Diceros bicornis minor: one gene and its partners. The protein of the gene in region 2 interacts with the protein of the main gene of each other region in a pairwise test. Links are inferred from orthologs where the notes say so. Each region holds a gene or a part of one and is shown on either strand. Other genes may lie near its edges. The genes, in order: C13H1orf94, CCHCR1, MIA2 and TRIM54.

Evidence for each region.
Region 1: the proteins of CCHCR1 (region 2) and C13H1orf94 interact in binary tests that used the Homo sapiens proteins (3 or more experiments, as listed by UniProt). The link is inferred for Diceros bicornis minor from reciprocal best matches to the Homo sapiens genes CCHCR1 and C1orf94.
Region 3: the proteins of CCHCR1 (region 2) and MIA2 interact in binary tests that used the Homo sapiens proteins (3 or more experiments, as listed by UniProt). The link is inferred for Diceros bicornis minor from reciprocal best matches to the Homo sapiens genes CCHCR1 and MIA2.
Region 4: the proteins of CCHCR1 (region 2) and TRIM54 interact in binary tests that used the Homo sapiens proteins (3 or more experiments, as listed by UniProt). The link is inferred for Diceros bicornis minor from reciprocal best matches to the Homo sapiens genes CCHCR1 and TRIM54.

What each region holds. Positions count from the first base shown.
Region 1 is NC_080752.1:48,634,010-48,641,755, reverse strand, and holds the start of C13H1orf94 (uncharacterized protein C1orf94 homolog), read right to left. Parts: upstream 3,343-7,746; coding exon 3,014-3,342; intron 1-3,013.
Region 2 is NC_080753.1:34,069,840-34,077,467, reverse strand, and holds the start of CCHCR1 (coiled-coil alpha-helical rod protein 1), read right to left. Parts: upstream 3,328-7,628; 5' UTR 3,133-3,327; coding exon 2,983-3,132; exon of another isoform or gene 2,681-2,982; coding exon 2,614-2,680; intron 2,536-2,613; coding exon 2,322-2,535; intron 1,049-2,321; coding exon 751-1,048; intron 1-750. Other genes in the region: TCF19 (transcription factor 19), read left to right, coding at 5,094-5,331, 6,435-6,993, 7,270-7,510. UniProt on the Homo sapiens protein: May be a regulator of keratinocyte proliferation or differentiation.
Region 3 is NC_080744.1:10,921,011-10,929,167, forward strand, and holds the start of MIA2 (melanoma inhibitory activity protein 2), read right to left. Parts: upstream 3,238-8,157; 5' UTR 3,223-3,237; coding exon 3,108-3,222; intron 995-3,107; coding exon 861-994; intron 1-860. UniProt on the Homo sapiens protein: Plays a role in the transport of cargos that are too large to fit into COPII-coated vesicles and require specific mechanisms to be incorporated into membrane-bound carriers and exported from the endoplasmic reticulum.
Region 4 is NC_080751.1:55,553,858-55,562,369, reverse strand, and holds the start of TRIM54 (tripartite motif-containing protein 54), read left to right. Parts: upstream 1-5,201; 5' UTR 5,202-5,691; coding exon 5,692-5,859; intron 5,860-8,512. Other genes in the region: DNAJC5G (dnaJ homolog subfamily C member 5G), read left to right, coding at 1,664-1,779, 2,076-2,289, 2,484-2,628, 3,146-3,201. UniProt on the Homo sapiens protein: May bind and stabilize microtubules during myotubes formation.

The DNA of each region.
Region 1 (7,746 bases), on a different chromosome or scaffold from region 2:
AGATTTGGTTTGGAGCCCTAAGGGCAGAATCTAGATCAATGGGTATTAGTTTGATAGAGACAGATTTCAGTACAGGAAGGAAATGGTCTTTTGATGCTCAGGGTCCATAGCAAGGGAGGGGGCTACCTTAGGAAGTGGTGAGCTCCCTGTCTAAGGAAGTGTGCAAGTGGATAACCACTTGGCAAGAACGTTGAGGATGGGATTCAAGCAGCAGAAGATGGCCTCCAAGATCCCTTTCAAACTTGAGATGTCTGGGTTTCCATGATATATAGGGAGAGAGTCAAGAAAAATTTCTGGCTAACAAGAGTTCTAGAACTTATTTATCTAACCACCCAGGTAGCAGAAAACATCATCAAAACCAGGTCTGCAAATTAGGCAGTGGAAAAATTAGCTGAGAGGTGTCTTGTGGGTCTGAAGCCATCCTAGAAATATGCTGGACAGCTCCCTGGATTTGAAATCTGTTATCCATGTGCAATCATTCAGAATGTGGGACTGCTAAATGTTTTGACCATCCAAAAAGACGCTCAATTTCTAGGGGAAGATAGCCAACGCTGTCGCGTAGTGGCTAAGGTCCTGGGTTTGCTTTCTGAAACTCTACCACTTCCTAATTGTAGGATTTCAGGCAAAGAAATTAACCCCTCCAATCCTATCACCTCATCTGTGAAAAGGATTTTATTTAAAAACAGGGGAGGAAGGAATTGAAACAAGAATGGCACAAATTTGATAATTAATGAAACTCAGTGATGGACACATAGACATTGACTATACTATTCTAGTTTATGCATTTGAATTTGCATAATAAAAAGTAGAAAGAGGGGCAGTTTAAAATAGTACCTACCTCATGTAATAATTGTAGGGCTTAAAGAAATCATCATCATCATTATTACAAGGAATTTATACAAATCCTAGTTATTACTGGGAATGTTTAAATATCCCATTTAATCATCCCAACAACCCTGTGAAATGCCTAGCAATCATCTCCATTTGGCAGATGAGGAAACTAAAGCTCACATAAATTAAACAAATCCTGCAGCTGGCGCAGGGCTGAAATGCGAGCTGAAACCAGAGTTATCTGACTGCACCATCGCAGCTGCCTTTATTTCAAGAATAGCTCATTGTGTTCTACTCGGTTGATATCTACACGATTATGATATCGTTTATTCATCTAAGTCAGTGGTTTCCCAGCTCTTTTCTCAGTAGCAAAACTCTTTTTTCAAACGCAGCCTTTACTTAGAACTCCAGTAAGTAAAACCCATAAAAGCCAAACAGCTCTGACTGAAATGGGCATGGGGCCCAGCAATCAGGCCACTTGACTCTAGGGTGGCCTCTGAAGCACCCTAGGGTCTATGAGCATAGTGTGAAAACCCCAGACTGAAGCCAACAACAACAAAAACCCCCGAACCCTGAGAATTACACTTAGGGACAGCCTCATTTGTATAATGCAGCTCTCCATTTCCTGTCTCTCATCACATTTGATCCTCATTATCAGCTCTGAGGTGGACAAGGCAGGGCATATCATCCTCAATTTGCAGATGAAAAAATCAAGGCCAAATGGAGTTAAGCAACTGGCCAAAGGTGCGCCAGGTCGCTTTTCGGCCAAGTGCGAACTGGAAATAGAGGCTGTCTCCATTAACTCAGTGTGACCTGGCAGAGATGGTGCCATCTACTGGAAATTGCCACTGCCCCTTGTTCCACAAAGTGGACAATCAACTCCTTGGCCATTGAGAGCTGAGCACAGCCCCACGGGCCCCCTGACAAGGGCCCATCCCAGAGCAGATGGCAATGGGCAGGGGAGAGGGACTCAATACCACTGGAGGGCCGGACAGTGGGATTTTGGCTGCAGAAAGGCCATTCCCATCCCAGCCATGTCTTGCTGAGCACAGGGCAGGGGAGGCAATAATAGCCAAGGTGCCTTCCACCTTCATCTGCAGCAAGTATGTGAGCCTGAAAAGGGACGGCAGGTCGTGCAGACCTGGGCGGCAGTTACCCTTTGCCTGTCCTCTTGCTCTTGCATAGAATTCCCTGAAACCAGACCAGCTGATAATTGCCTGAATGGTTCCCCTACTCCAGAGCATCTCTGAACTGAGCTGGAGCATGTGTTAGAACAGGCAACACTTAATTATCACTTAGTCTTTAATTACCACTTAATTATTAACACTTAATCCATCTGTAAAATGGGGACACTAATACCTGCCTCCTAGGACTTCAGGAGGATTAATTAATGCTGGCAGCCCTCTTTGAAGATGCAAAGCATTGAACAAATGCTCAACAGTGACATTAATAACCATGGCGGATTCACTTGCTTTTCCTAACGAGGTCCCTCCTTCCTCTCCTTGTAAATATCCATCTCCAACAATATCTGTCCAACTTTGCCCCGGCGGAGAAACACTTAGCTCTGTGTTTCCCAGACACAGGATTTCCCAACTAGGAAATGGGCTATTTACAGCCATCTTCCCGCACGTTAATTTTCTATTATGTCCTCTGAATATGTCAGTGCCTTCCCAGTAAATATTTTGATGTGTGCTCTTGCAGCAGCTTCTGTGGATGCTGAATGGGACAGCTGCTCCCTGTATTAGGGAATTCCAGATGTGGTTTAAAACCACCAGACTCATCTGTGCCAATGCCTAGCCTTTGGAGGCAGGAGGGGGAAGGATCTTTTAGTTGCCTTGTGGGAAAACTGTGATATCTAATGCTCAGCCCTGACTAAGGTGGTTTTTCAAGGTTCTCAGGTCTACATCTGAGTTGCCTATGACTTAAGGATGAGAAATGTCCCCTTGTGGGCTGGTGAAGAGGCAGCAAAAATTCAGCCCTAGTCTGGCCTGTCACCCAAGTAACTTCAGGACCCCAGTTAACTCTCCCATAAAAATTGGCCAAAGGACCATGGGGGTGGAGAAAAAGTATACAGCCTTTAGGGTTGAACCAGACTAAACAGTGGGCCAGAACATTCCCCCAGAAGGTGAGACCTCATCTCCTCCCTCCTCCTTTGATGCCCACCATGTTGGGGGACACTCACTCTTCTTGGAAGCTGAGCACGTTGTCTCCTGGAGTCCCAGCCATGGGGGCAGAGAGCTGCTCCTTCGAGGTCCTGGGCTGCAAGGCCTCGGGCAGGCCCTGGACTCTCTTCCAGATTTCATGGCAAGTCTTGTCGAGGCTGTCTTGGGGCGTGTCCTGGTGGATCCAGATGTATCTGGGGAATGGGCCCAGGGCAGAGGGGCGCTTGGCCACCAGGGCCGACGATGAAGGGAGCCCATTCCCACTGGCCATCCTCCTCCTCTCTTTCCGGAAGCCCCTTTGTCCACCCAGGGTTCGAAGACAAGGGGACCATCCACCACCACCCCTCATTCACCAAAAAGGGAAATGAGGATGGGGCAGAAGCAGGTTGCTCCAGCAAGATGAGTGTGCTCAGAGGCCTTCGATTTGTGTGTGAGTGGTGGATGGAGGACAACTTTCCTTTGGGGAGAGGAGCTTATTTCGATTTGCTTTTATTTGCTCTTTCCTGACTTTTGCCCCCCTCCCCCTCTCCCTTAGAAGAAAATATTTAAAAGTCAACAAAAACCAGTAGCTTAGTAACCGTGGAATCCCCCTGAGCTCAGGAACCAGGAGCCTGGAAGGGCAGGATGACATCTGGGAACAGCTGGAGGGGGAGGGCGGGCTCTCCCCACGGTCCCTGGCACTGCCCCGTTGCGACAGGCCCGTGACACCTTGCGGCGCCTGGGGCTCAGCCCATTCTCGCCCGCTAAGCCTCGCGGAGGACCGGGTGAGCGCCTGGCGCTGTGCTAGGCACCGTGCAGGCCGGAGCCCTTCATTAGAGTCTCATTCGGTCTTCCCAGGGACGCCCGCGCGCTCCGAGGGCCAACGGCCCCCGCCCCGGCCGGCCGGGCAGGCTGGCTCTCCCCGCTGCCCCTCCCGGCCCCTGTCCAGCGCCGCTCGGCCGCCCCCGCACGAAGTGAGCCGAGCGCACAGCCGCTCGCAGCCCCCGGGGTCGGCGCCCCCAGCAGGCGCCTGCCGCGCCCCCCGCGCTGGCCTGGGACTGGCCTGGGAAGGGTCCCAACGCCTTAAAAGGGTGCCGTCTCGGCGAGGCGGGCCGGGCCGGGCGGCTTGGATCGATTTGCGAGCCAGTGGCTCCCACACCCTTCCCGTCCAGCGCTGGAATTCCTTCTGTGGGTTTCAACCGCAACGGCTCGGTGCGCGGGGCGCCGCGGGTTCGGTGCCCCATGCCCTCCGGCGGGGTGGGGGTGGGGGCCCGGAGGACCCCAGAGCGCCTTCCCCTGTTAGAAGCCGAGGGCGCCGCGCCCCGCCTCGCTCCGCCGCCACTCCGCCCAAACCTCAGCCCTGCGGGGCCCTGCCCCTGGCTCCCCTGTTTTTACCCCAACTGCCATTTCACTGGGCGCTTACCCTGTGCCAAGTGCTGGGCTTCCTGTGTGGTCATGTTGAATCCTAACGAGCTCATGAAGTTAGTACCATTGTTTATTGTCGTTGTCCATTAGAGGAAACCGAGTTCAGAGTCCTAAAGGGGTGTCTCCACGGCCCACAAGGAAGTGGGGAGCTGGGATTCAAACCCGGGCCCACAGGCCTGATCCCGCTCTCAGCCGCTGAGATAGACCGTTCCCCCCTGCGCAGAGGTCAGCGGGTGCCGGGGTGGGCGGCGCGGTAGCAGGGGAGGTCGAGGGCCGAGGTGCAGAGAGAAGGGCTGACTTAGGGTTTGCTGCCCAGCGGGCTCCCCCCGTCACTGGAGAGGCTCCGTTAATCTCGGAACTGACCCTCCGCCTGCCCGGGGCTCTCTGGCCACAGGAGTCAGTGGTTGTTCCTCCGGTGTTTCCCCAGAAAAGGAAGAGCAAGAGGACGGGAAAGAAGAAAGAAGAATGGCCGCGAATAGACGATATGACAGTCCATAGATGAAGAGTTGAACCCGATACTGCCACTTCGGAGCTGTGTGACCCTAACAACTGTCTTAACTTCATGCTCATGCGTTCATCCGGTCCCCAAGTATTGACGGAGCCATCCTCTGTGCCAGGTGAGTCGCTGGAAGGTGAACAAAACTCCCTGCTCTCCTGGAGCCCATATTCTAGGGAGGGAGATGGATCACAAACCAGCAAGGCAAGGAAATAGCAATAATTACGGATGAAATAAGGGCTCTGATGGAAACTAACCAACAAAGTGAGGCGGTGGGGAGGGAGCAGTGGCAGCCTTAGATGGCCCTCCAGGCTGGCCTCTTTGGGGAAGTAATATTGGAGATGAAACAGGATGAGAAGGAACCCTTTTCTGTAAAATGGTGCTAATAAATTATAATGAAGATAAAATTTCTGGCACATAGTAGGCACTCAGTAAATGTGTGTTGGGTGAATCAATGGTATGCAGTATGCCAAGTGCCTGGCATACAGTAGGTGCCCAATACACAACCTTGCTCTTTACAGAGGACTGGAGTTCCTGGAAATGTTGACTCTAAATTTTGAAATTCAAGCTTCACTCCCCTTTGATTTTCATTATAAAATTGAAGATGTGTTCCTTTGGGGAAAATTCCGAGGACTTAGACTGAATAAAATTATAGTTAAGAATGTAGAAAACCTTTTAAGGTAGTGTATTTAAAGGAAAAGTGATCATTTCTGATGAAATATTAATAGTTCTGAAAATGTCACTCAGTGTTTGTGCGGCTTGGCATTTGGTTGGCTAACACCTGTGCTTAGAGCAGACTGCCAACGACCTTGCACTGCCCAGGCCACGGGATTCTGGAGAGTTAGCCAGCTCGCTCACTCCTTCTCCCATTCTCTCTCCCCTTCAGCAGGACACCAGGCAACAGGGGATAATTAGAAAGGAACGCAAAAAAATAAAATACAGCAGGGATAGGGAACAAAGATAGGGACACGTTTCTTGGAGTGCACAGCTGAGATTTCTAGAAGATTCTGCAAAAAACTTAAGTGAAGTACTTAGAAACAGTGTAAAGCTACATCCAATACGGTAGCCACTAGCCACATGTGGCTATTTTAATTTTAATTGTATTTTAATGTAAATTAAATTAAAATTTTAGTTCCTTAGTTACATTAGCCATATTTCAAGCACCACACGTGGCTTGTGGCTACCATTTTGGACAGCACAGAGAACATTCACATCATCACAAAACCTAGACTCTAGAGCCAGATTACCCGGGTTCAAATTCTGAGTTCATGTTTTCTGGCAATGTAGGCTTAGGCAAGGTACTCTGTACCTTGGTTTATTGCTTCTCTAGGGCTGCCACCACAGACTGGAGTACTTAAACAACAAAAATTTATTTCCTCACAGTTCTGGAGGCTGGAAGTCCAAGATCAAGGTGTTGGCAGAGTTGGCTCCTTGTGAGGCCTCTCTAGGTTTATAGATGGCTGTCTTCTCCCTATGTCTTCATATGGTCTTCCTTCACTGCCTGTCTGATTCCTAATCTCCTGTTCTTATAAGGACACCAGCCATATTGGATTAGGACCCATCCAAATGACCTCATTTTACCTTAACCACTCTTTAAAGGTCCTATCTCCAAATACAGTCACTATCTGGGGTATGGGGGGTTAGGAGTTCAACATATGAATTTGGAGGGACACCATTCAGCTCATAAAGCTTGGTCTCTTCATCTGTAAAATGGGATGATAATAAAGAACACCTGATTTGTAGAATTGTTATAGATGTCTATTACTGAGTAATTACTTAACACATGGAAAGTCCCTAGAACAACACCTGGCACATAAGAGACACATAAAAATGCTGTATGTTAGTTTCCTTGTTGATTACATTGAAATGTGTGCCACTGGAGTTTCTAAATAGCAGCTTTTGTGCTCTGTGTAGGGAGGGAGAACTTTAGCTGTGCTGAGGAAATTGCTCTGCGATGGAGGAATGGACTCAAATCATCAACTAAGCCTTTCTAGGCTTTTTCATTTTTGAGCACCTACCATGGGCCAAGATTGTACAAGGCTCAGGGCTGGGAGATGAATAAGACCTCTAGCTTAGACACTGTCACAAGCTAGTGAAGGGATCAAAGCATTCCATAAGTGCCTGGTACATAGCAGGTGTGGGAAAAACTGAGCATACTCCAGCTTCTGTTAAGCATGTAGTTATAGTTCTCCAGCATATATATCCATGTGCCTGGTACTGTCCAAGGTGCTGAAGACAGAACCTTGAAGACAGGTGTGGTCTCCTGACTTCTTTAGAGCTTGAAGTGAAGCACTCAATAGTCATGGACACCATTTCATCTATGAATTATTTTTAGTTTGGACAAATTCTTAAATTATCCCTTACTATCCCTATTACCCTGGGCAGGTTGTTTGACATCTTTATCCTCAGTTTGCTCATCTGTGAAACAGAGACAATAAAATACTGACCTCATAGAGTTGTTTTGTGACAACTGAGATAATGCATGCTACTGTGCTTAGAGTAGTTAGTTTGGCTCATGCTACATACCCAATGAATGTTAGTTACCATTATTTAGGGTTCTGGGATTCTTGCTTTTCTATTTGGAACCAGGAAAACCAGGAAGTTTTCCTACCTACTCTCCAGCCCGAACCTCTACTCACCTGCCTTCCATCACTGACACAAACATGTGTAGGTTGGAGAATTCAGAAAGGTGGGCATCGCCTGTGCTCTTTCTAGATCTTCTTAGGCCCTAAGCCAGCTTACTCTTGTAGGTCCTATCTTTCATCTGACATATTTTAAACACATCCACCTCTCGCCATAAGCATAACTTTTTGGCTGTAAAAGCAAACTGAAAGGATTTTTGCCATTTTGCTT
Region 2 (7,628 bases):
AAGCGTTGAATGTACATGTCCCCAACTAGGCTATTGGCTCCACCCACACGGACTCAAGCTGATTTGCTCACCCCAGAGTCCCAGCTCCTGTCTCAGGGATGGCAGAGTCAGCGCTGATAAAAGGTTGTTGATGGGGCCAGCCCGGTGGCACATCGGTTAAGAGTGCGCGCCCCACTGCGGTGGCCCGGGGTTCGCAGGTTTGGATCCTGGGCGTGCACTGACACACCACTTGTTAAGCCATGCTGTGGCGGCGTCTCATATAAAGTGGAGGAAGATGGGCACGGATCTTAGCCCGGGGCCAATCTTTCTCAGCAAAAAGAGGAAGATTGACGTTGGATGTTAGCTCAGGGCTGGTCTTCCTCACAAAAAAAAAAGGTTGCTGACTGAGTAATATTCCCTTCCCAGTCCTCCTTAGGACCCCACTCCCAACTTTCTCACCCCTCCACCAAGGCTCCCAGGTGAATTGGGTACCTGGAGCAAAGTGGGAAGACAGATTACTTCCTACTGGAAGGGGAAGGAGGGCTTCAAGTGGTGTGCGGGTCACCCGAGTCCTGGGAAAAAGTGCAATCTGAGTAAGCCCAAAACACCCAAGTTCTCCCTCTTCCCAGGTCACCTGTTTTTTCGCCTTCACCAAACATCTTCTCATTACTCTACTGCTCATGGGGCCTTCTGGGTGATACCTGTTCTCTGCTGGGAAGCTACTGCCAGTTCACCATTTTGAAGGTAAACCCTTTCCACCCCCACATTCACCTGTTCTTGGTGCAGCCTCTGAACCTCCTCCAGCTCCCGCTGGTTCCCCTCTTCCAGGTTCTTCCGGACAACCTCGGCCCCAGCCAAGGCAGCACGCAGGCCCTCGGCCTCAGCTCGGCCGGCCTTCTCCGCCCGTGCCAGAGCCTCCAGCTCCATGGCCTGGGCCTCTAGCCTCATCTTCTGCTGCAGCGAGGTCTCCCGCAGGACCCGGACCTCCTCCTCAAGCCGCCGCAGCTCTTGCAGCTGCCGAGAGATCAGCTCAGCCTGCTGGCTCAGGGCCTGCGACCCCTCTATGGACCTTCAAAGACAGATTAGCACAGGTGAGACATGTCTCTGGTGCTGGGAGAGTGGCCAAGGGCATAAATGGAGACAGAAGGAGAAGAGGATCCTTCTGTTCCCATGTGGGGAGATGAGGGGGATGAAGCCGGGCCATGGGGATCTCTGCATTTCCCTCACCATAGTCATTCATCGAGGCCCTACTAAGCACATTAGGTCCACTGTCTGGGCTCACAGGACCTAAAGGCTTGCTGAGACCATAGAACGTGATCTCCCTAGAGAGAGCCTATATACAGGCAGATATATTAAACATCTGCCTGTGCACATCATCAGGCCACACATTCTGAATTGGAGAGGTTGGAAGAACACACAGAGGCTTCTGAATTCCGATTTAAGGGCAAGGAAAAGTTTGAGGGAGGTGCAGAGAAAGAGAAGTCAAGGCTTCCAGTATCAACATGGTGCGGCCAGGAGCTAGTTAAAAGCATTTATTGAGTGTTAGGAGGAGTCTGAGAGAACAGTACAGCAATAAATTGCAAAGTTCCGACCTTTGGAGAACAGAATCAACTGGTGTCACATAAAGTTTAAACCAGTATAACAAGGCTCTTGACACAGCTCACTCACTGAGGCCCAGAACCACGGAATTTTTTTTTGAAGTGGCAGGGATCTGTCACTTCAGAGCCTAGAGAAATTAAGTGACTGGCCAAAGGAGCCCCAGCTGGTAGCCAAATGAGCAACAGAAAGTCTCTGTCTCCTGACACCCACTCCAGTGTTCCCCTTTCATCATCGGGCTCCTTCCTCTTTGATGGGGTCCAAGGTAGACCCATCTGCAATTCCACTCTAGGGCAAAATGGCAGAATGACATTCCAGGACATTTGGGAAAAGACACACATGAAACATCAAGAATTTTTATAGACAGTACACCTACAAATAGCATGGCTACCTCCAATGGCATGTACTCTGTCAGAATGAATCCACATACCACAGTACAAGCTACACTCCTTCACACTTCTTCATCTTGCCTTATACTATGTTTATTACAATCAGCTGTTGGTCAGTCTCTCTCTTGGGATTTTAAATTCCTTGAGATAAAGATCTCTCTTATTCATTTTTGTTATCCCCATCCCTAGCAGCTAACACACTGCCTTATTACTATTTATTCATTGTAGGCACACCAATAGTTGCTTATGTAAAAATGAACAAATTATGGAAGGGCTGAAACAGGGTAACAAATCTATTTCAGTGAAGAAGGGTCACTGGCAAGCAAGCCCAAGAAAACAGTGACAGTGTATCCCTACCTGCCTCTCTGCCCTGGCTCCTGCCCATTGTCAGAAACACCTCGTTCCCACATGATCACTTGAGGTCTCTGGTTGTCTGGCCGCCTTTCTGAGACATCTTGATGGGCTGGGGGTTGGAGCAGGGGAATGTCTGAGACCCAAGTGGGAGCCATTCTTGGCACAGTTGGAAGGGGCCGAGCTTGGAAGTGGGATGGGGGAATCAGCCCAGTGGAACCTGAAGAATCACAAGGACAAAGATGGTCAGCTTCCCAGGGAGAGACAATCACCAGTCCCCTTGCCAGGTCCCACTGACCTGAAGGTCGAAACATCTCCACATTATTTGAAGCCTCTAGATTCAGTGTCCAGCCATCTATGTTCCCCTGGACAATAGGAGAAACAAGGACACTCCAATTCAACTTTCAGGCCACCTTCCAAAGAGAAAGCCCCTACAATAACAAAGTCATAATCCTTAAATAAAAGCCAGGTCCACCCAACCCTTAGCTCCTCTTTTCCTACTTCCCAAAAGAAGTAGGAAATACCCAAAGATCACTTGCTTGACCCAACCTGGTTCCTGACAGAACTATGGCAATTACCACGAGATGGAGGGAATTTACTGAGACAGGCTGAGAGGGAGCTCTCTGAGGCTTTACTCATACTTTGGGGATTCTGGGAGTGACTTTACCCTCCTCCTTAAGTTTCTACAGTCTCTGCCGTTCCTGGTCGGAGGTGAGAAAGGAGGTATGCAGTGCAGGGGTTGTGAGCCCAATCTCCAGAGTTCTCTCCATGGCTCAGCAAGGCCTTGGGGAAGCCCATCCAGACACCACCAAGCCATGCCTCCTTGGTCCTTCCCTATTAAAGCTCTGGCCCCAGGCCCAGATGAATGTGGCTACATGCAGAATAGGATGCCTCCCCAGGACCTCTGGGAATCCAGGCAGCCTAGATCTCTTGGCAGAAAAGCCAGCTTCCTGACATCTCATCCAAACCCTTCCAACAACTTTCCTCTCAATTTCTCTCTACTATCCTCTCAGCTTCCATTCCTGTCACCCACCCTCCCCTCTCCAGAGTCCTAGAGCATAGAGAGGGTGTTCAAGGTCTCCCCACCCTCCCACCCGAATTCATCTATTTTCGCCCCGCCGATCTGGGATTTCTATTCCCCTCCCTCCCTACATCCTAATCTGCTTTTTTCCTGAAGGAATTACTCTGCTCCCTCACTCGCACCTTCATCTCTCAACTCAATAGCCTGCTCTCGCCTCCCTGCACTCTAGCCGGCTCTCAGTTCTGCCACCCGACCCCCACTCCCTCAAATACCCTTGCGTCTTCACCCTGCTTGACCCCGAGCTCTAAGGCTGTTCCGACCACCTTACCCGTTCTTTTACCCGGCCCCCTTACCCCACTTCCCCTATGGACCCCTGAACCCACCCTCGCACCCCAGCTCAGCCCCTTCCCGCCCCCAACCGACACTTCCAGAATGCCCCTTACCCAGCGCGAGAGCCCACCTCTGCCCTTTGACCACACCCCCTACACCTTGCTCCCGGGCGCGGCCTCCGCCCCTGACCGCGCCTGCGCAAAGCGCGCAGGTTGGCGGGCCGCTCTAAAGCCCGTTTCACCCCGGAAGGAGGAGGGGAAGAGGTGCACGCAGGCGCAGTAGTGTCTGAAGCCGGGCCCAACTAAGGCGTTGGGGCAGCTCCGCGCCCCGGCGGCTCCTCCCAACTCCGGGAACCCGGGAAAACTTGTGAACTAATCAGAAAAAGCGGAAGGCGGGAGATCGGAGAGCCTCCAAGCGCGCCGCCCAATGGAGAGGAGGAGCACAAATGAGCCGGCCAATCAGGAACGGCACGGGGGGCGGGCTCGCTCGGCGCGAAGTTCGGGCCCGGGAATTCCAAAGGCGGGGTCGGCGCTGCCCGCGCGCGGAGGCCGCGCCCCTCCTGGCCCCGGCTTCCTTGCTGTCAAACAGCCGCGGGAGCGCCAGCGCCGGCCGGAGCCCGAGAGGTCCCGGGGCCGCCGAGAGGCTGGCACTGCCTGGAGGGGAGACCCTGCCACTGCACCGCGCGGTAATCCGAAACTGGGCTGGGGCGGGGAGGGAAAAGACTGGGTTTGCCTTGTATGATCTCCGGGAGCTCTTTGCTCTATTTTTATCCCACCCGGAGAAGCGGAGGTTTAGATCCGCTTTGTTGGAGAACGTAAGGACTCGTTTGCACTGCCTTTAGGGGATGACAGTGGATTCACTTTCCCACTGGGGTTCAAGCTAACTAGTTATGAGTGAGGTATTGGCCAGAAGAGCAAGGCGCGGGCAAGCAGGAGGATTACTCCATTTGGATAAGCAGGTCTGACAGGAAGAAGCTTCTTTTCTCCAAATTACATTGAGGTGACAAGCTAACATTGCACAGGAGCAGGAACCCCCCCCTCATACATACATCTACAGTGTATTTCCCTAGACGCTGCCTAATGTATGTTGCCTTGCACAGATTGAAGGCTCCCCGAGTATTTTGCGGCCTGAGGATCCGGTTCAACTAAGGTGCCATAAGACGTGTTGGTTTTTGCACTGCACCGGGACCTTCTCCGAACTTTTCAGTTGCAAAGCTGCTTGACAGCCAATTTTCCATCGTGTGCCTAGGCTCCTTGTCCTCTGAATTTGCACCATTCAGGGAGTGTCCTCAAAGTTGAAATTGCACAAAGCACAGCTCAAGTTTGTATCAGACGGAAAGTAAACTTAGGCCGGCCATGCATCACCCAGGAGTGGGAAAGGTGATGGATTCCTGAAGTGGAAGAGGTGGTGCGGAGGGGGCACCGCCCATGCTGCCCTGCTTCCAGCTGCTGCGCATAGGGGGCGGCAGGGGCGGTGATCTCTACACCTTCCACCCCCCAAGCGGAGCTGGCTGCACCTATCGCTTGGGCCGCAGGGCCGACCTGTGTGATGTGGCCCTGCGGCCCCAGCAGGAGCCCGGCCTCATCTCTGGAGTCCACGCGGAGCTGCACGCTGAATGCCGGGGCGATGACTGGAGGGTCAGTCTGGAGGACCATAGCAGCCAAGGTGAGCAGTGAGCAGGGCAGCCTTGCACCTAGGCAGTTGCAGTTCTGGGCTGGAATGATTAAGGGACTCCACAAGGACCCTTCCTGCCTCCCAAACTCCCCATCAGGTTTGATGGACAGCTGTAGTCCAGACCTGTCTTCCTACCAGAAATGTGCAGTGTCAGACACTCTGCGGGGCTGACCCTCGATGGCCCGTTTAGCTCATACAGGGACTGGGAGGTAGATCCAGGGCCTGGGGCATCATCAGGAAAGTATCACAGTGGGGTTGTTCTGGGGCATTGGGATCCAAGCTAAGACTTGACTCAGTTTCCAGATTTGCTGAGGCATCTCGTTCCTGTCTTAGGGCCGTTATGATATGTTGAATTATGTTTTAATGATCTGGGCATATGTCTTACTCCTTGACTTTGGAGATAGTTACAGCCAGCCTCAGAAGGCCTGACTTCACATCTGAGTTCTGCCACTGGCCGCTGGTGGCAGACCTATCAGACCTGGTGGCCCCCTCAGACCTGTTACTTCTCCTCTCTGGGTTTCCTCTTGGGTAAAATGTCTTTGTGAGGTCTATTTTGGTGTGTGGTAGGGGTTGGATAACAGTGGTAGCCAACATTCATGTAGTGCTTACTATTATGAACCAGGCAGATTTAAGTGCATTGAATGTAGGTGGGCATGAATATCATCCCCATTTTATAGGCGAGGGAAATGAGGCACAAAGAGGTTAACTTGTCCAGAGTCACATAGCTGGTAAGTGGTGGAGCTAGGATTTGAACCCAGACAGGCTGAGCTTTGCTGATAGTAACTGTTGAGTTGGGGCTGTTTGAGGGTGAGTATATCTGAGAACTGGACCTCAGTAGAGTGAGGGGAGTCCGCTCCCTCTATGTGCCCTGAGGGAGGGCATAAGAAAAGTAAATCTTGTTCCCAGCTCACAAGGAGCTTAATCTCTGATATCACCTGCTGAGGTACTTAGAATGTGAGAGAATTTGATGACAGGTGTCAAGTTCTTCCTCATATTCCCCAGAAAATCAAATGGGGCCAGATTCCTCCCCTCCTGACTGACTCTGGTCATTTCTGTTTTGTCCTTCTCTGTGCCTGGTTGCCCACCATCAACAGGGACTTTGGTCAATAATGTCCGACTCCCAAGGGGTCATAGGCTAGAGTTGAGTGATGGTGACCTTCTGACCTTTGGCCCTGAAGGGCCCCCAGGAACCAGCCCCCCGGAGTTCTACTTCATGTTTCAGCAAGTCCGCGTCAAACCTCAAGATTTTGCTGCCATTACCATCCCTCGGTCTAGGGGAGAAGAGGGAACCAGGGCTGGTTTCCGGCCCATGCTGCCCTCCCAGGGGGCTCCACAGCGCCCCCTCAGCACCCTCTCCCCTGCCCCCAAAGCCACGCTGATCCTCAACTCCATCGGCAGCCTCAGCAAGCTCCAGCCCCAGCCCCTCACCTTTTCCCGGAGTGGGGGTGGGCCACAGAGCCTGCCTGTTCCCACTCCCCCTGGGGAAGTGGGGACCACCCCTTCTGCCCCACCCCCAAGGAATCGCAGGAAATCAGCTCACCGAGTGTTGGCAGAACTGGATGATGAGAGAGAGGGTCCCGAGAGCCCTCCACCAGTCCTTACAGAGCCCAGGAAGAAATTCCGTGTAGAGAAAACCCCACTTACACCTAGTGGGTAAGTAGAGAGATCTTTGTCTTAATATTTCACTGCCTTTTGATTCATTTTTAGAGCCCCAGGCTGGGAGGTGGCCTTCAGCTCAGGGGAGGGAGAGGGGGATGGGAGGTGGACAGGAGTGGAACAGATGTTGGAATGGCAAGACCTGGGTTAGCTCTACTAACCAGGTTCACCATTAGTCTAGTGAGTCTATCTAGGTTCACTTTGATTATCCAGGGGACAGTTCTAGGCTTCTACAGTTTCTAGTGACCCTGGTTTTTGTGTCACTTTCTTCAGAAATCGACGTGGGCGTCCTCGGAAGCACCCAGTGAGCACCCCCATTGCTCCCCCCGCAGTTGGGGGTGGGGAGCCCTGTGCAGCCCCTTGTTGCTGCCTGCCCCAAGAAGAGACAGTAGCCTGGGTTCAGTGTGATGGTTGTGACGTCTGGTTCCATGTGGCCTGTGTTGGCTGTAGCATCCAGGCTGCCAGGGAGGCCGACTTCCGGTGCCCAGGGTGTCGTGTAGGCATCCAGACCTAAGGCCACCATCACGGCACCAGAGGACAGAGCTGGCACCTCCAGGCCACGGGTGGACACAGTGGTGTGCCAATGAGTCCTAAGAAATGCCCCTTCTTCCCTTGCCTCCCCAGGAGGGAAT
Region 3 (8,157 bases), on a different chromosome or scaffold from region 2:
ACAGACATGATTCAAACTTCTAGGAATTTCAGTGTAATAGGAATTTAGGCCAAATAAAAGTCTCTCCCAGTTGTTCTTTTTTCCCATGAAAAATTCATATACCTCACTTCCCTAGGCTACTAATCTTTCTGAGGATCTCTTCAATAGCAACTCAGTCCTTCATTTGCTCAGAAACACATGTCTTTTAATTTGATTAACTAAAACTTCCCAATCTCCCTTAAATTTGGCCATTGGCAGCACCAAGGAATCCCTGGGGTTGCCTAGCTATCTCATAATCTCCATCAGTAACTCTGAAGTAGGTAAATTTACTCTCCAAGTAAATATAAAATCTAAGTTCAAAAACCACACATGCTATGTAAAATAATTTCAAGGCATTCTTAGTCCTCCATCCCAACCAGACTGCTTTCCCAAAATTCTGCTTTTATGGAAATTCTGGAACCAACACTGAATATGACCATTTTTTGCTTGTTTAAATATGTTAAATGTTATATACCTATATATATACCTATATATCACTTTGAAATTCTTAAAGTTTCTTTTTTTGTGTGTGAGGAAGACCAGCCCTGAGCTAACATCTGATGCCAATCCTCCTCTTTTTTGCTGAGGAAGACTGGCCCTGAGCTAACATCCGTGCCCATCTTCCTCTACTTTATATGGGATGCCTGCCACAGCGTGGCTTAACAAGCAGTACACGCCTGGGATCTGAACCAGTGAACCCCAGGCCACCACAGCAGAGCGCGCGCACTTAACCACTTGCGCCACCGGGCTGCCCAGGAAAGTTTCTTTAGGGATGAAAAGCGAGCATCCTTGTGCAAGTTGGTCATTTATTCTGCATTCAATTTTTAAGACTAGATACTTACACTTCCTGCCCACAAATCTTCCCTTTCTCCTGCAAGTTTAATATAAACAGATATCTCTTCTCCCTTAGTGAAGTTCAGGTATCGGCAGTCAGGTCCTCTGTAATCTCTCAAGGCTAAGACTCTGCTTATTAAAGCTATGTAAGAAAAACACAAAATTTAAATTAAAATGTCATTTCTCTGCCTCCCATCTTGCCCTCCTCCAATCCATCCTATGTATTTCCAAATGCTAATTTCTTCATAACATTTATGAACTCAAAAACCTACATAGACTTCCCGCTGCTCACAGAATCAATTCTAAGCTCTTTGGCTTGGTATTCAAGGCTGTCCATAACCTGCTCCTTCTTCCCCACTTAAAATGACTTCCTCTTATTTCTTTACAGTCAAGCTCATCTATCCATTGTCCCTGGAATGTGTCGCTGTCATTCTCGTCAGTAGGGAAGGGAAGGAAAAGATCATTAGTTTTCTCCCCAGCACCTACTATATTCTAGGCATTATGATAAGCTCTTTCCTATCTTTATTTTATTAAATCCTCAAAACAGACCTATGAGGTAAATAATCTCATCTTAGGCTAACACATGAGCCTTTAACTACGTCTTAGAGGAGCCAGATTTGCACTGAGGCTCTCTTCACTCACCATCCACGTTCCATATTCTGTGCTTTTCTTTCTGCCCCTTCAGTCTCTCTTCAGGGTCAACTCATATCCTACTTCCTCTATGAGACATCCCTAATCAGTCCAGCCTACTCTGCCCCTTCTCTGAACTTCATTCTTTTTTTTTTTTTGTGAGGAAGATCAGCCCTGTGCTAACATCTGCCAATCCTCCTCTTTTTTTTGCTGAGGAAGACTGGCCCTGGGCTAACATCCGTGCCCATCTTCCTCTACTTTATATGGGACGCCGCCACAGCATGGCTTGCCAAGCGGTGTGTTGGTGCTCCCCTGGGATCCGAAGCGGTGAACCCCAGTCCGCCACAGCGGAGTGCGAGCATCTAACCACTTGCGCCACCGGGCCAGCCCCTGAACTTCATTCTTATGTTGTATCACTATTTATTGTTTCATATTGACCTGTCCTGTCACCATTCACTAGAATGAAAATTCTTGGAGGGCAAGAAACTTATATTTTATTTTCTTCTTCTTAGATCAAAACCCCCCAGCCCCTCAGACCCAGCACATGACAGGCCCTCAATAACCATGAATGATCATAACCACATATGCTAGATTTAGGCCTTTAACACATAAAGTAATATACATACCATATTAACTATTATAATTATACTAACATATGTAAAACATTTTAATTAAGTCATGCAATTAAAGTTAAAATAACATTATATATTACTATAAATTTGAATGTTCCCTTTCCATGTTCTGTGTCTGGCCCTAAGGAAACTAAAATGAGATTGTAAAGAGGGAAAGAAAGATTATTATTATTATTTAAAAAATCTAGTAAACTTTCTCTATATATTACATTACATATCCAAATGATTAAGGAAAATGTTTACTCAAAAAATTTACTTATAAATTATTTATGTTTATACTAATAATATTTTGCACTTTTAATTTACATGTTGCAAATTAGAAATAATTCTCACATACCGAAGAGATAGAACATATTTAAAGCAATTTTAATATATTGGGATGCTATTCATTCTGCACCATAATGCTAATAACAGAAAATTAAGTTTTTAAGCAATAAAATGAAAATTAATTTCTCTTGGTAAAATATAGAAGTTTAATATTCAAGGATATAAATAAAATTATGTACTCCTAACACTAATTTCAGTATTTTTACTTAATAAGTAGACACAGAAATGATTAATGTTTGATAAAATTTAGACAATAAATCACAATGGTTTGAAATAAAAACATTTTTAGAAAACTAAAAAATATAAGGGCTTCATAAATAAAGAACTATTAAATGGCTTGATATCTTTTTTAATGCAAATCAATTACATTTATCTTATAAAACAGTAAAAGATCTGATTTGTGTGTTTTTGAGGTCTGGATTAATATTTTTATAATTTCTGATATATTTATGTACCAGGCTGATCTTTGCCCCTTTGTATATTTGCATTAAAAACTATCACAAAATGCTTTGCCTCCAGCATTTCCTTTTTATAGTGAACCATACTTTATAATTGCAAATATTTTGTAACGAATTAATGCTCATTTTTATCATACATGTCCACAATAACATTTTATGTCATTTCAGAGCCTCAGTTTAAGAGGGAAAAAAAAGCAAAGCAACTTACTTTCACATTCCAAGTCACCACATTTTTTAAAGTCGGCCAGCAGTTTTGTGCCTTCCAGACACTTTGTCAGAGAAATAATCAAAAGGAGGATTCTGTGAACTCCCAGCTCCGCCATGCTAAAACAAGCAGGAACCCCAAACAAGGTTTAAACCGACTGTTTAGGCTGTAGGTCCGCCAGCCCAAACAGGAGACATCCCACTCTCTTCACTAAATACAAGAGAAAGGGGTTTGGTTCTTTTTAATCCCTTCGTAACTACATTTTTCTATCAGTGTTTAGGCTTACCTTGAGAGAAAAACACTCTCCGTTCTCAATCTGCAGTGTCAGGTATCCAGATAATACCTAAGGGTTTAATAATTAACAGAGATTTTTAGTTGGACTCACGTCTTACAAAGGTGGCCCATGTAACACTGTCTCCCTTAAAGGCACCTGGCATTCCGCAGGACAATTCCTAAGCAGGCCTCCACAAAAAGGCAGTTCATTTCTCTCTTCAGGGAGCTCGGTCAAAACGTACAAACTGAGTGTTTGCTGCATGCAGACACCAGCATCAGTGGAGAAAGTATATAGTTACATGTAGAAGCAGTAATCATTTATGTTAAAAGCATGGTTTTGAAATATCATGATGAAAGTTATTTGAAAAAATATCCCACTTTCATATTTTAAAAATCTTTGGTGTTATTACGAAGTTGAAACTTGTATTTAGTTAAGAATAATAGTTACGGGGCCGGCCCCGTGGTCTAGTGGTTAAGTCTGGCAAGCTCTGCCCCAGGGTCACAGGTTCAGATTCCTGGCACGGACTGACACCACTCACCAGTGGCCATGCTGTGGCGGGGACCCACAGACAAAATAGAGGGCGATTGGCACAGATGTTAGCTCAAGGCGAATCTTCCTCAGGGGGAAAAAAAAAGAATAATAATTAAAATGTAGTAAGTACTTATTATGTCCCAGCTACTGTCTTAATCACTTAATCATGTGATCAGATTTAACCCTCACACCAACTCTCTAAAGCGGGTAATATTATCATCCCCATTTTTGCATATGAGGAAACTGAGGTACATAGAGATGGGCTAAATCACTTGCCCAGTGTCACACAGGGAGTGGAGAAGAATTTAAACCTCAGCCCTGCGACTCCCCTTACTCATAACCGCTGTGTCTTACCACCAAGAATCAAGTCATCTGCCACAGAAAGATGTCCACGCTCTCTGCAACAATGCTATTCCAGGAACAGCAAGTACAGGCTTATTCCATATTTAAAATTGCATACATTTTTCTGTAGGTGGAGAGAATGAGAGAGATGTCTGAAAGAATCTTCCTCCATACGGTAGGAGTACACAGTGTGCTTTCAAGTTGTATTCACTTTCTTCTTTGTACTTTTCTATATTGTTTGACTTTTTTAAAATCAGTGAGGATGTATCATTTTAAAATAACAGTAAACCTATGAAAATCACGTTATTTGAATGTTATTATGGTTTACAAAAGGGATCAAAGCCCTATATTGGGAATTTTTGTGTAAAACACTAGATCTCAGTAGATTTTCAGAAACCACAGTTGTCGTACTTCACTCTTGAGAAAATATTTTTCTAAGCCTTTTTTTGCTGTACCCTCTCACTGTATCTCAGGCCTATCAGCGTGTAATCGGTTTACAGAATGCAGCCCTTGTATGACACCACACCTCCCTCTAGTGCCTGACATAAACAAGACAAATATCCAGTACCTGAGCAAACTAAAGTAAAGGACTTTTGCTTTCAAAGTCCTAAAAAAGGACGTGTGTTTTCTGTTTGTTTGTTTTCCAAAAACAATAATTAGTAGGAAGCCTGCTTTCTCGGATCAAAGATTTTTACGTCCTTAGGATCTGATAGAGCATGAATTTGAGGATCATTGGCTTGCACTCAGAGCACGGCATAGCTGTGCACATCCACACTCAAAAAGATGTAGCTTAGTTTCTTGAATACTTTTGCAAATCTATAGGCTATGTCGTCAAAGACATTTAAAGAAAGATTAGCTCTTCAGCTTCAAAATTTGGCACAGGGTTATTAGCATAATTTATAACATCAAATAGAGAATATTTCATAATTAATATACTTTATCCTTTATTGTATTCAATATTAAAGACATTACAGCTCAATTCTGCACCAATTAATTTAGTTATATTGTAAGTTAAGACAGAGAAGAACCCAGATAAATTTAAATTTGTCTATTGATTGGCCTGAAGGAGATTTGAGTCAAGAAAAACGAGAAAAATTGTTGCCTAAGATAGCAGCCTGGAGAGATTTGCTTTTATAGAAATGCTCCCACTTTCTTGCTACTTGATGCACTCAGATGATCTCATTCCATGTTTAGATTGTTATTTAAATATATCCTAACAAGATATCTGAAAATGTGGTAGCACAATGGTAACTGTATCCAACAGACTCGGATGAAGAGGTGATGGAGGAAGGGATAAGAGCATTTAGTTTAAAGAAACCAAAGTATCGAACTTTCACTATAACAACAGTCATGTTAATTTAGCCAGGTATTATCTAATTGCTGATGCATTTTTCAGATCAAGTGTTGTGTCAATATTAAAATATAATACTGCTGCTGAGGAAGATTTTATGGTAACAGTCAGGAATACTGATTTGGAAAGCCTGTAGCATTCTTCAGAAACCATACAGGAGGTAAGAGAACCTACTGCATAAAGCTAAAGAATGAATCATCAAAGCCACATATGTTCAGTATCTCAGCAATAGTATCACAGAGCAACCCTTTCCACGAGAATGTAAAGATATCATCACCAATGCTGCACTTCTACTGCTTGGTAAGGTTATTTCTGACTCTGTATAGTACTGTCTTCTCTCTCAATACCTCAGATTTCCTGAAGTGGGAACATATTTCCTTCCACCAGCTGTCTGTTAGTCTGGCAATTTATAAGATAGAGAAATTTGATTAGAAGTTGCTTGGGGAAAGCTGAGCTGAGGAAGCCAGGGTGTTTTTTTCTAGGGAGGGGGCACTAGGACAGAGCCTTTGGAAACAGTTCCCGTGGCAGACAGCTGTGCAGTGTGAGATCAAGCCCAGGAGAGACTGAGATTCAAACTGGTGTGGAAGACATGAAGGTGGCCCCCCACGCTCCCTCTTCAAGAAGAGGCTTTCTGCGCAGCTGCAGGGAGTGCAGTTAGCAGACAGCCTCCCTCTGGCAGCTACTTCAAGGTCTGCCCCAGCTGCAGAGAGCCCCCTCACCCAAGATCGCCCCTTCCCGGTGATCTAGTGAATTTGGTGAATAAATGACGAGAGAGTACAAAGGCAGGGCTGCAATGGCAGCCTGATGTGGGCACCTCTCCCTCCAGAGCTCCTGCTGGGTTGACTGAAGCTTTGTAGAGCCTGTAGTGCAGTTTGACTTCCCCCTCTGCCCAGTCCTGCTGTCTCCCTCTTCCTTTCATAGGGGTTGATCCCTTGAATTCCAACTCTGTTTCAGCCTTTACTGCGAGAGGACCCAACCTCAGAAGCTAGTGATCCACAGGTGCAAAAAGAGGAGACGGTAGAACACGCACATTTTGGCCCATCATTTGTGCTAGTCACTCCGTGGCTCTTTTTACCTTTGCTGCTTTTGTGTTGCTGAAGGCCGTGTTTCAATTCTGCCCACTTTTTCTCATTCTGTCTGTATCAGTCAGAGTTCTAGCAGGTAACAGAAGGGTATTCCATTTTGAGGGATGGCACTCCTCAACGATTGAGGAGATTTTAATGAAGGACTATTTACAAAGGTGTGGGCAGGGTTAAGGGAAACCAACAAGGGATGTAACACCCCCAGGCCTGAAGGAACGGTGTCCACTGCCTGGAGAGAACTATAGGAGAGAGCTGCCTGGCAGGAACTTGAAGCCTTCGGTAAAGGAACTCAGACAAGAGAACCTCACTCTTCTAATTTCTGATCTGATGGTAGCACCCATTGACCAAACCCAGCCAGATGCCAGAGAATAAGGGAACCCTTTGAGGCAGTCCTAAGGTCTGTGTTCCAGGGACACAGAGCAGAGTGGCAAAGAGTGGAGAGTGGATTGGGAGGAGCAAAAAGAGAATACCCCACACACTGTCATCATTCCTTTACTATGTATTTTTGAATAATAGCATGCAACATCCTCTACATCCAAGATGATATCTGTGTGATATGTGCAGATCAGGGGACTGAATTGATTACTCTCATCAATGGGTAAGAAAGAAATTTAATGTTTGTTGAGCACCAACTTTGTATCAGTGTATGTATTTCACATACACATCTCATCTTCCAGGATGGGCTTTATTTACTGAATGCCTATGATGTGTCACTCTTCTAGGGACTAGAGGTACAGGAGTGAACAGGACAAAGTCCTTGCTCTCATGGACCTTGCATGCAAATGAAGGGAGACAGACAAGAACAAGCAAACAAATAAATGAACGAGATAATTGCAGGTACTGATAAGTTATTATGCAGAAAAGTGTCTACTTAGATAAAGTTGTCAGGGAAGGCATCTCCGGAGAGCGACATTTGACTTAAGAGGAGGGAATAGGAAGGCAGACATTCTGTGCAGGGGGAAGAATTAACGAGGAAGTCGTACTTCATTGTCTGAAGTTTGATCGCCAAAGATTTAAAGAAAAAATGAAGGAGGCATATTGGATGCATTCCAGTATGTCAGAAACAAGGCTTAAAGGTGAAACTAACAGGCATATATAATCAAGAAACATAAAGGCAGATGGAGAGTGGTAGGAGATGGAGTAGGAGACAGACAGAGGTCCAATCATGCATTTTTTGTGGAAAAGAGTGTGAGTTTCATTCTAAGTGCAGTGGGAAGCCAGAGGAAGCTTTAAGGAAGGGAATGACATTATTTGTGTCTTTATCATACAACTTCACTTTTTTGATTAGCTAACCCCTACTTATTCTTCAAGTCTCTTAGGTTAAATCACTTAATAAATATATTACTCAATAGCTTTTTTTGAATGAAGGAAAATATATTCGTGAATGAATAAACGACTTGATTTCTTTTCTAGAGCGAAATTCTTCATACCTTATGACTAAATGAAATTCTATCTTCAGCTGTGTAGCTCAAC
Region 4 (8,512 bases), on a different chromosome or scaffold from region 2:
TTCCAGGAATCTACCCTAAGGAAAAAAGAGATTTATTTAAAGATTTATAGATAATTTTCATTATAAGGCTATTATACTATCAAATGGTTAGAAACAACTATCCAATCTAAATTATATAATTACATTATGATACATCCTCATGATGTAAAAGTATTTAAATGAAGATTTGAAGAACCGTAGTGACTTTTGGACTTCTTGATATCGTTTCAAAAGAACATGAGAACTAATAATTACAATATAATAGGATAAATGCTTTCGCAGAGTAAGGTGGGAACAACGGGGGGAATGAAGAAAGGATTCCCAGGAATACTAACATTTGATGTAGGTCTTAAAGGATATGTAGGAGTTTCCAGGTGGAAGAGAAAGAAAGGACCAAGTGGAGACTCCCAAATTCTGAAAAAGAAGACTGGGAAGGCAATACACCTCTTGAGAAAGGCTTGCAGAAACCATACCTCTCATACAGCACAGTCTGCAAACCCATTATCTTTCTGTGAGTGAGTCGATGCGCCATGACTGTGATCAAGACAGGCGACCCCCTCCCATTGGAGAAGAAGGGATGCCCCTCGAGGCTGCGCCCAAGGGTAGGGCTGGAAACGAAGCTCCCCCGCCTTTGGCCGCTCGCGACCGGCGATCCCCCACGCTCAGGCTTCCCCCTAGTGAAATAAGTCCCAGGGCTCGTAGCCTCACCTCCCAGACCTTCCGGCGGCGCCAAAAAGCGCCCGGAGTGTTGATGCTGCGCGCAAGCGCAGTCGGCGGTGGACTCCGGGTGAGAAGTTTCACGCCCCGATGGAGGTTGTATGAGGCCTACCCGGCTGAAGAGAGCGACTCTTCAGGTAAAGCGCCCGGCCGGGTGGGGAGTCCAGTCAGAGCCAGCGGGGACCTGGGGAACCCGAGCACTCCCGTCGGAGCTTGCTGCCTTGGTTCTCCTGGGCTACAGCCTCTGAGCTCTCTCCCACTCGGAGGTTCTGCTCCCTGTTTCCTCGCTCGTCGGCCCCACAGCTCCCCCTTTTCGCTTCCTTCTTCGTCTCTTGAGCCATCCCTCTGTTCTGCCCACTGCCCCGGCTCTGGGGGGCGAGGGTGCGATGGTTTGAGAGGGCAGGCTGGGGGAGGAAGGCAGTCGGTGGCCCAGCGGCGAGCATTGCCCTCTGTCCTGGCTTTTGGACGCCTGACTTCTCTTCGGCAGCTCGGCGTGTGGTCTGAATGGCCTCTCCCGTGGGGACTGTGGCTCCCTGATTCCTGAGCCGCCTATTAGGGCGGAGGCGCACTGCTCTTTCAGACCCAGCAGTGAGCCTGGACAGGCCCAGGGCCGTTTCCTTAAGCTACTAGTAGCTCAGGACAAAATCAGTCTCTCCCCATGGCTTAGACCACCCTTGCGTACACCTCTCTAGAATGTGGGGTGTCTGGAGGTCTGTGTAGCTGAAGGATGCTGAGAACTGTGAGGAGAAGACGTTTCCTCTTTAAAATTTGAATTTGAACGTCTTTTCAGGTCGCCTGCACTCTCCTGCTAGTCGCAGATCCCACTCACTTTGTCTTATACTTGTCCCTTTGGAGTCATTTACCTGCCTAGCCCCCGAAGGCAATGAGCTTCCTGCCACTGGAAGTTCACTTCTCCGTGGCCTCACCTGTGGAGTTTCTCACAAATATTTCTTCTCCTCTGACCCAGATCATGTCTCATGTGGATGAAGCAGCCCGCCGGCTGTCCAAGAGTGGGTCAACCCTCTATGCAGTGCTGGAGCTTAAGAAGGGTGCCTCACCTGAAGACATCAAAAAGGCCTACAGGTTCAGACCTCAGCCCCTTATTAAACCCTGCAATTTTCCCCCTTAAACCTTTTTCTTTCTACCTTGCTTTCTGACCCATTTTTAAATCCCCAAGCCTTCACTTTGGGGCCATTCTCCTCTTCAGTGTGGCATGGGAAGGAATTTAGACTTGGGCTGCTTGCCGCCATCCTTTGTACCATGTCCCATGCATTCCTTCTTCACAATCTAGAGACCTGTCCCTGTCATTCATCCTAACCCTCCCTCCCCAGCCATTCCCCATCCTCTCTCCACCTTCCTTTTGGGTATTGCCTGGGTAGGAGACTGGCCTTGAAGTATCATCCAGACAAGAATCCAGGGGACGCTCAAGCAGCAGAAATATTCAAAGAGATCAACACAGCCCACTCTATACTGAGTGACCCTAAGAAGCGGAAAATCTACGACAAGCATGGCTCATTGGGAATATATATACATGATCACTTTGGCGAAGAAGGCGTCAGATACTATTTTACGCTGAATAGTTGTTGGTTCAAGGTACACAGTTCCTCCTAGTCCCTTAAGAATAAGGAAGGAGGGGCAGCCCTCCTCTTGTAGGACAGCCGACCCTCCCTTCCGAGGACAAATGCTTCAACTGTCTCATTTTCTGGGTCCTGGGAGGATTGAGGGAGGGGAGTTTGAATGGAAATATAGAAGAACTGCTGGACTGAGACGCTTCTTTCCTCTTTTAGACACTTGTCCTCCTGTGTGCTCTGCTCACCTGTTGCTGTTGTTGCTGCTGCTGCTGCTTTTGCTGTGGAGCACTTAAGCCACCACCTGATGAGGCTGCCAGGAGAAAATATCAGCAGAATGTCCAGAATCAGCCTTCAAGGTCAGGTGAGAACCAGAGACGGGGACTGAGGTAAGAGCTGGGTTAGGAATGAAAGAAATGGTTGGTGACAGAAATGGTTGGGGGTGAAACTGTGAACCCCTAAATATTGGAATCTCAAGTCAGTATTGGGGCAAAGTGAAGAAAGAGAAGGGGATACACTTGGTTTCTGAGGGGCTTATGCCACAAAGTGACAGTTTGAATGTAGTGTTGGCCTCTCATGACTGTTAAGCTAAGGAAAATGGAGTGGGAGTTAAGGTAAGGAATCAGGTGAGAGAGTCTGCCTAGAAAAGGCAGTAGTTGAAGACAAGTTAGAGGATGCAGCTTATTGTGTTTACTCAAAAGGAAGATGAAGTGTCTGAGATTATCCCCACCCCCAAGTAGTTAAACTTGGAAGTGTGGGTTTACTGATGTTCACACCAGTGCCACCTAGTGATGCTAGTGAGTAACTGCAAGATAACAGTTTTCTCACCAGTAGAATTGTTACTAAATGTTTATATATGTGTTTTTCAAATTCCATTATAGGAAACAAGCAAAGTTTTAGAAAAGGGGAAGATAATGATAATGAAGATGATTATTAAAAGATGAAGAAGAGTTGAGGTATGAAAACTGAAATGCAGCAGTAATTAAAGGACAAGTGGAAAGTTTATATCCTTATAGTATGGATTACAGATGTTTATATCCTTACTTAGAGTGGTTTTGCTTTAAATTCTGGGTGATCATTCCTTCTAGTTCATAATATGCCAACTTCTTCTGCCCATAGGTGCTGACCTAGTGAGAGTGCTTCTGCTGCCCAGTCCACTGGACACGTTGAAGAAAGGAGCAAGTAGCCCTGTCCTGACATTGACCCTGATTTGCCCCTCTTCTTGTAAGAATCCCAACTTCAGAAGCATTGATGGAGTTGATCCTAGTGGGGATGCCATCTCTGTCCTTGATGGTATCACTGACCCTGGTGATACAGGGTCACCCAGCTACTCTTCTTTTAGCTCCAATTTTAATCTGTTAGAGAGCAGCCCTCCCATCTCTACCCTTATGAGGTCTCAGGCAGTGGTGATATAGACTTTTCCTCAGCATTCTTTTTCCTGTGCCTTCCTTGAGATTTGAGCCAATGTTAGCTGGTAGGGTCTCTGAGCCACTTGCAAGATCTCCACCAAGATCCTGATACTGAGCAGGGTGGATCCTATCCCAGAGCTGCTGTGCCAGCTAACCCTCCTTTGTTACAACTCTGTGTATTAAGAACTCTTAGCATCAGCCTCATTCCTAAGCCAGTACACCTTTCTGGGGCTCATCTCACCTTCTTCTGGTGCCCATGCACTTGGCATTGCCAGTGTCACTCCATGCCACCATGAGTCACCTCAGGAAAAGTATGAATGCATTTGAGGCCTAGGGGTGTTTATCTCACCTTTGGATTCTCCCTGGACTGCAACTACCAGCACAGCGCCCATTAGCATGGGTCCTGTGGGTTGACTGAAGTTCATGCGTCAGTGCCTGCTTTGCCTCCACACTTTTTACCACGTCTTATGCCGGCTGATCACCATATATTTTGTTCTTAAAGCAGGGGCATGAAACGTGATAGGGAAAATACTGTACTTTTACAGACCCTTTCCCCACTCGTGCCTCTTCACACTGCCTGTTTGGTATCCTCTCCACACCATTTATTTCCTGTCCACCCAGGGTCAGAGCCTAGTAACTCCTCAAAATTCTCTCTCCTGACTGGGAGAAGGGCAAATGAATGTCAGTAAATAAAAGAGTTTTTGTCAAATCCCAGTGCATATGTTGGTCCCAAAAAAGACAAATTGTGCCTGGGATGGAGAAAAAGTCCTGTAGGAGAAAAAGACAGAAGCCCAGTGCTCACACGTGAGACCAGCCTGCTTTGGACAGTAGGAGTCTGGGACAACTATGGAGTTGGGGCAGAAGGTTCCTGGAGCCTTGTGATTATGACTTTGTCAGACCTCTAAAATTTCCCTGGAGACTGATTCCCCTGGTGCCCAAAATAGGTTCCTGGTATTCAGGTCCTGTCTGCCCAGCTCAGCTTCTCTTGATTTCCTAACAAATTTAAAGTCCTTGGAGTGGCTCCGGTGATGTTGTCATGGACCAGAATCCCACACTTTGTCAGGGGCATGCTCATGAGGTCGTTCCAGGCCCTGGCTTCCAGTGCCAGCTTCCTGAGCTGCTTTTCCTGGGGTGATATAAGAAAGGTCTGGGCAAGAACAAAAATGGACCAGAAGTGTTGGACCAGAGCCTCTCTCTCTAGTCTCTGGTGCCTCTGTTCTGAATCACAGGGGTCAGAGGAAGAGGGCCAGGGTCACTGGCTAAGCCTTGGAGGCAGAAACTTTCACTGACAGTCTGTGAGTCTGGCAGTATCTTTCCTCCCACCGTGAGCCATGTATGGTGCCTCTCATCCAGGCTGATTTAGATTCTGTGTCACTGCCCTGGAAGAAGGGCCCAAGCCAGAGCCTGGGAGTCAGGGGCTCACAGGAGCCTTCTGAGTGGGAGAGCAAGTGAGAGCCTGACACCTTTACTGCCCACCTTTCACCCTAAGCAGTGAAGCTCACCCCTGCTCTTGCTCAAGGGAGTCACCCATTACTGAGTGAGTCAGGGTCACTCACTCAGTGACAGCTGTGGCTCGCCTTACATGAGCTAAATTGGGAGTTGGAATGTCACGCAGATGCCCCTTGTTCCCCACCCCCACGTTAAAGTTAATCTCTCTGGGGAGTGAGAGACAAACAGTGCTGCCCATAGAGTGAACAAGAGTCATTTGGGGAACAAAAGGAGAAATTTCCAGGGACAGAGTCATTCAGGGAGGGAAGGGTAGATAAAGCTACATGTGCCTGGCTGGGGTACAGAGCAAAGAATAGAGAGACAGAGAAGTGTCTGAAAACAGCTATCTAAGGACGAGGTGAATTGTTAGAGGAAGGGACAGGAGAGATAGCAGAGCTATTTCAAGAGTAAGCAACAGAAGGGAACATAAGAATCCACAGGCTGTCTGAAGTAAGCGAGGAAGGGTCCAGAGGCAGTGAGACAAGGCCAGGACCAGGGCCAAGGCCAGGATAGGCACAATCACTGAGGGGATGAACTTCACAGTGGGTTTCAAGCCGCTGCTAGGGGATGCACACAGCATGGACAACCTGGAGAAGCAGCTCATCTGCCCCATCTGCCTGGAGATGTTCTCCAAACCGGTGGTGATCTTGCCCTGCCAGCACAACCTGTGCCGCAAGTGTGCCAACGACGTCTTCCAGGTGGGCCAGGGGCGGGGGCAGGGCCAGGTAAAGCAGTGCAGACTTGTGGGGGACTTCTCATCAGGTCAGAGCTGAGACCCCGGAAGGTGATGGGCAGAGTATTCTATGAGGTGGGTGGTGGCTGTCCTGGTTGAAGAGCAGAAGAAGAGCCAGGGGTCCTAGCAGATCCCAAAGTAAGCATGAGTCAGCAGCTGCTCTGCAGGCTGGCAAGTACAGCCTGTGCATGGACAGCAGCTGGAATGCTGGTATCTACAGAGGAAAGAAGACCCGCATAGAGCTGGGAGGGAGGTGATCCTACATCAGACTGTACAACAGTCTATACTAGACTCTGCATCCTTGTTTGGAGTTTCGGGTTTCGAGAACAATACAGAAAATCTGGAGAAAATAGCAATGAGATAATGAAACATTAAAAAATGAACCCTGTGAGAAAAGTTCATGATGACAGTGAAACTATTTGTATTTAAGGCAAAGCTCAGCATATCCATCTTTTGGGGGCAGAGTTAGACAGTGGACAGGAGACTGGGAATTCTCCCCAACTAAAGCTCAGGCCTGTGCCCCGCTCCAGATTGGTCAATAAAGGGGCCTGCTGGTTAAAAAGGATTGAGGTCACTTCAGCAGAGAAGGCAGACATGAAATTTTACTTCTCAGAAATATAATGAGTTTGGGTTTATATGTGGTCGTGGGGCAAAGCATAGCTAATCAAATTCACAGATACCATTTTAGCTACTAGTTTCAAAAAGAAAAGCAGCATATCACAGAATGGTTTATTCCTGAGCTTGCTTTCTTGCCCTGTGCCACTGGTGTAGGCTCTAGTAATCTAGAAAAACTAGTAATATAGAAAATGGAACAAAGATCAGGGAGAGTGAGGGGAAAAGACACACACACACACACACACGCAAAGATCTTGCAAATGAAGTAAAAATTGACTAGACCAGAGCTGGCTGGCTTAGTATGCATGGGGCAATAAGGAACATCATGAACACATATTCTTCAGCTGTATCAGAAATTATGGGGAAATGTGTTGAACACAAGTGATTTTTAACTTAACCAAGAAAATATTTCCCTTTTAAGTTCTTTGTGGCAGCATGTTTGGGGGAAAATAATGGGCTAGCTAAGTCAGGCCATCCTCCAGCTGTGCCCTGTGACCCACACTTTGTCTCTCTACTGCCTGCCGTCTTCACTGAGTGCCCAGCCCCATAGTCTTTCCTGCCATCTTCACATCAGGGCCCATTCCCATCTCCTATTCCTCTATGTGTCCAAACCTGCCGTTATTTGGCTCCAGAGTATCTCAGAGCCAGTGATTTTCCCTTTCTGGAGGCCTAGACTGACTGCTATGCCTGCTTATTCCAGGCATCAAGTCATGTAGGAGAGACTATGCCTTGCCCTCCATCTTGGTTTTTCCCTTGGTCTGAGTAACTCTCTGAACATCCTGCAGGCTGAGATGCCTAGAAGGGAATGGCAAAATGAATTTGTAGTGAAACTTTTCTTTCATTAGAACCTGAAATATGTGAATGCAAATAGAAGTTTTGAAAGTGAAGGTAATGTGTCCTGTAAAAAAGTGGTCAGAATATTCAAATGCAAGGCACACAGTGTCATCGGGCAGAGGGATGCAGGGACAGGTCCTGAGTATGGAGGCTAGAAGATGTTTAAGTGACCTTCCTTGTTCAAGCCTGTCCTCTGTATCAAGGCACACAGTTTCGGCTCCTTGAAGCTCTGGAATACTGATCTGGGCCCAGAGAGACCTGGGAATGGGTTGGGTCAAGTACTGTGCAGAATATTTGAGAGATAACATGATTCCCAGGGATGGCTTGGGATGGTTCTGTGGATCTGGACTGGTGGGTATCTTTTAAAGTGCAGAGCACCTCTGGGCCCTCCAAGGAGAGAGGAGGGAACAGCTCATTCCCTTGCTGCTTTATTTGGGACGGCCTGGTGGGAGGCTGACCCAGTTCTTCAGCTGCGCTTATGTATATACATCTCAGTAAATCTCCCTCTGAAAGATGAGCATATTTAGTTTTTTCACACATTGCCTCCACATTTTGACAACTCTAGGCATAATCAGATAGTCTGTTTTCTAAGTATGGGGACAAGAATAGGACTTTTGGTTCCTCTATGTTAAAACCGCTTAGGAAGAATACCCTTAGGACATTGCCTAGAAAGTTAACAGGACTTATAAAAGTGACACCAGTATATTATACATATTTTTTTTCAACCAGTATAAAGTTTATATCAAGAAAAGTGAATCTTCACCTCGGGCACTGAATTCCCTTTTCCAGATAGAGGTAGCCATTGCCAACTTTCTTGGGTATCCTTCCAGAAATTTTCCATGGATAGATACGTGTGTGGGGTGTGTGTGTGTGTGTGTGTATATATAGTGTGTGTACATATATATATATGGTGTGTGTATATGTATATTTAAACTAGACTCCTTGCCCTACACCTGTCTTTGTTCGCTTACTCTCGCATGGTGGTTGTTCCATATTCACACATTCAGCTCTGTGTCTTCCTTTTTAAATGGCTATATAGTGTTCCATTGTTATGACTGGACTACAGTCTGTTTAATCAATCTTCTAAAACATTTAGGTGGTGTCCAGTGTTTTGCTGTCCTGAAGACTGCTGTGATGGACAACGAGAATTTTTGGGAACTGTGATTTTA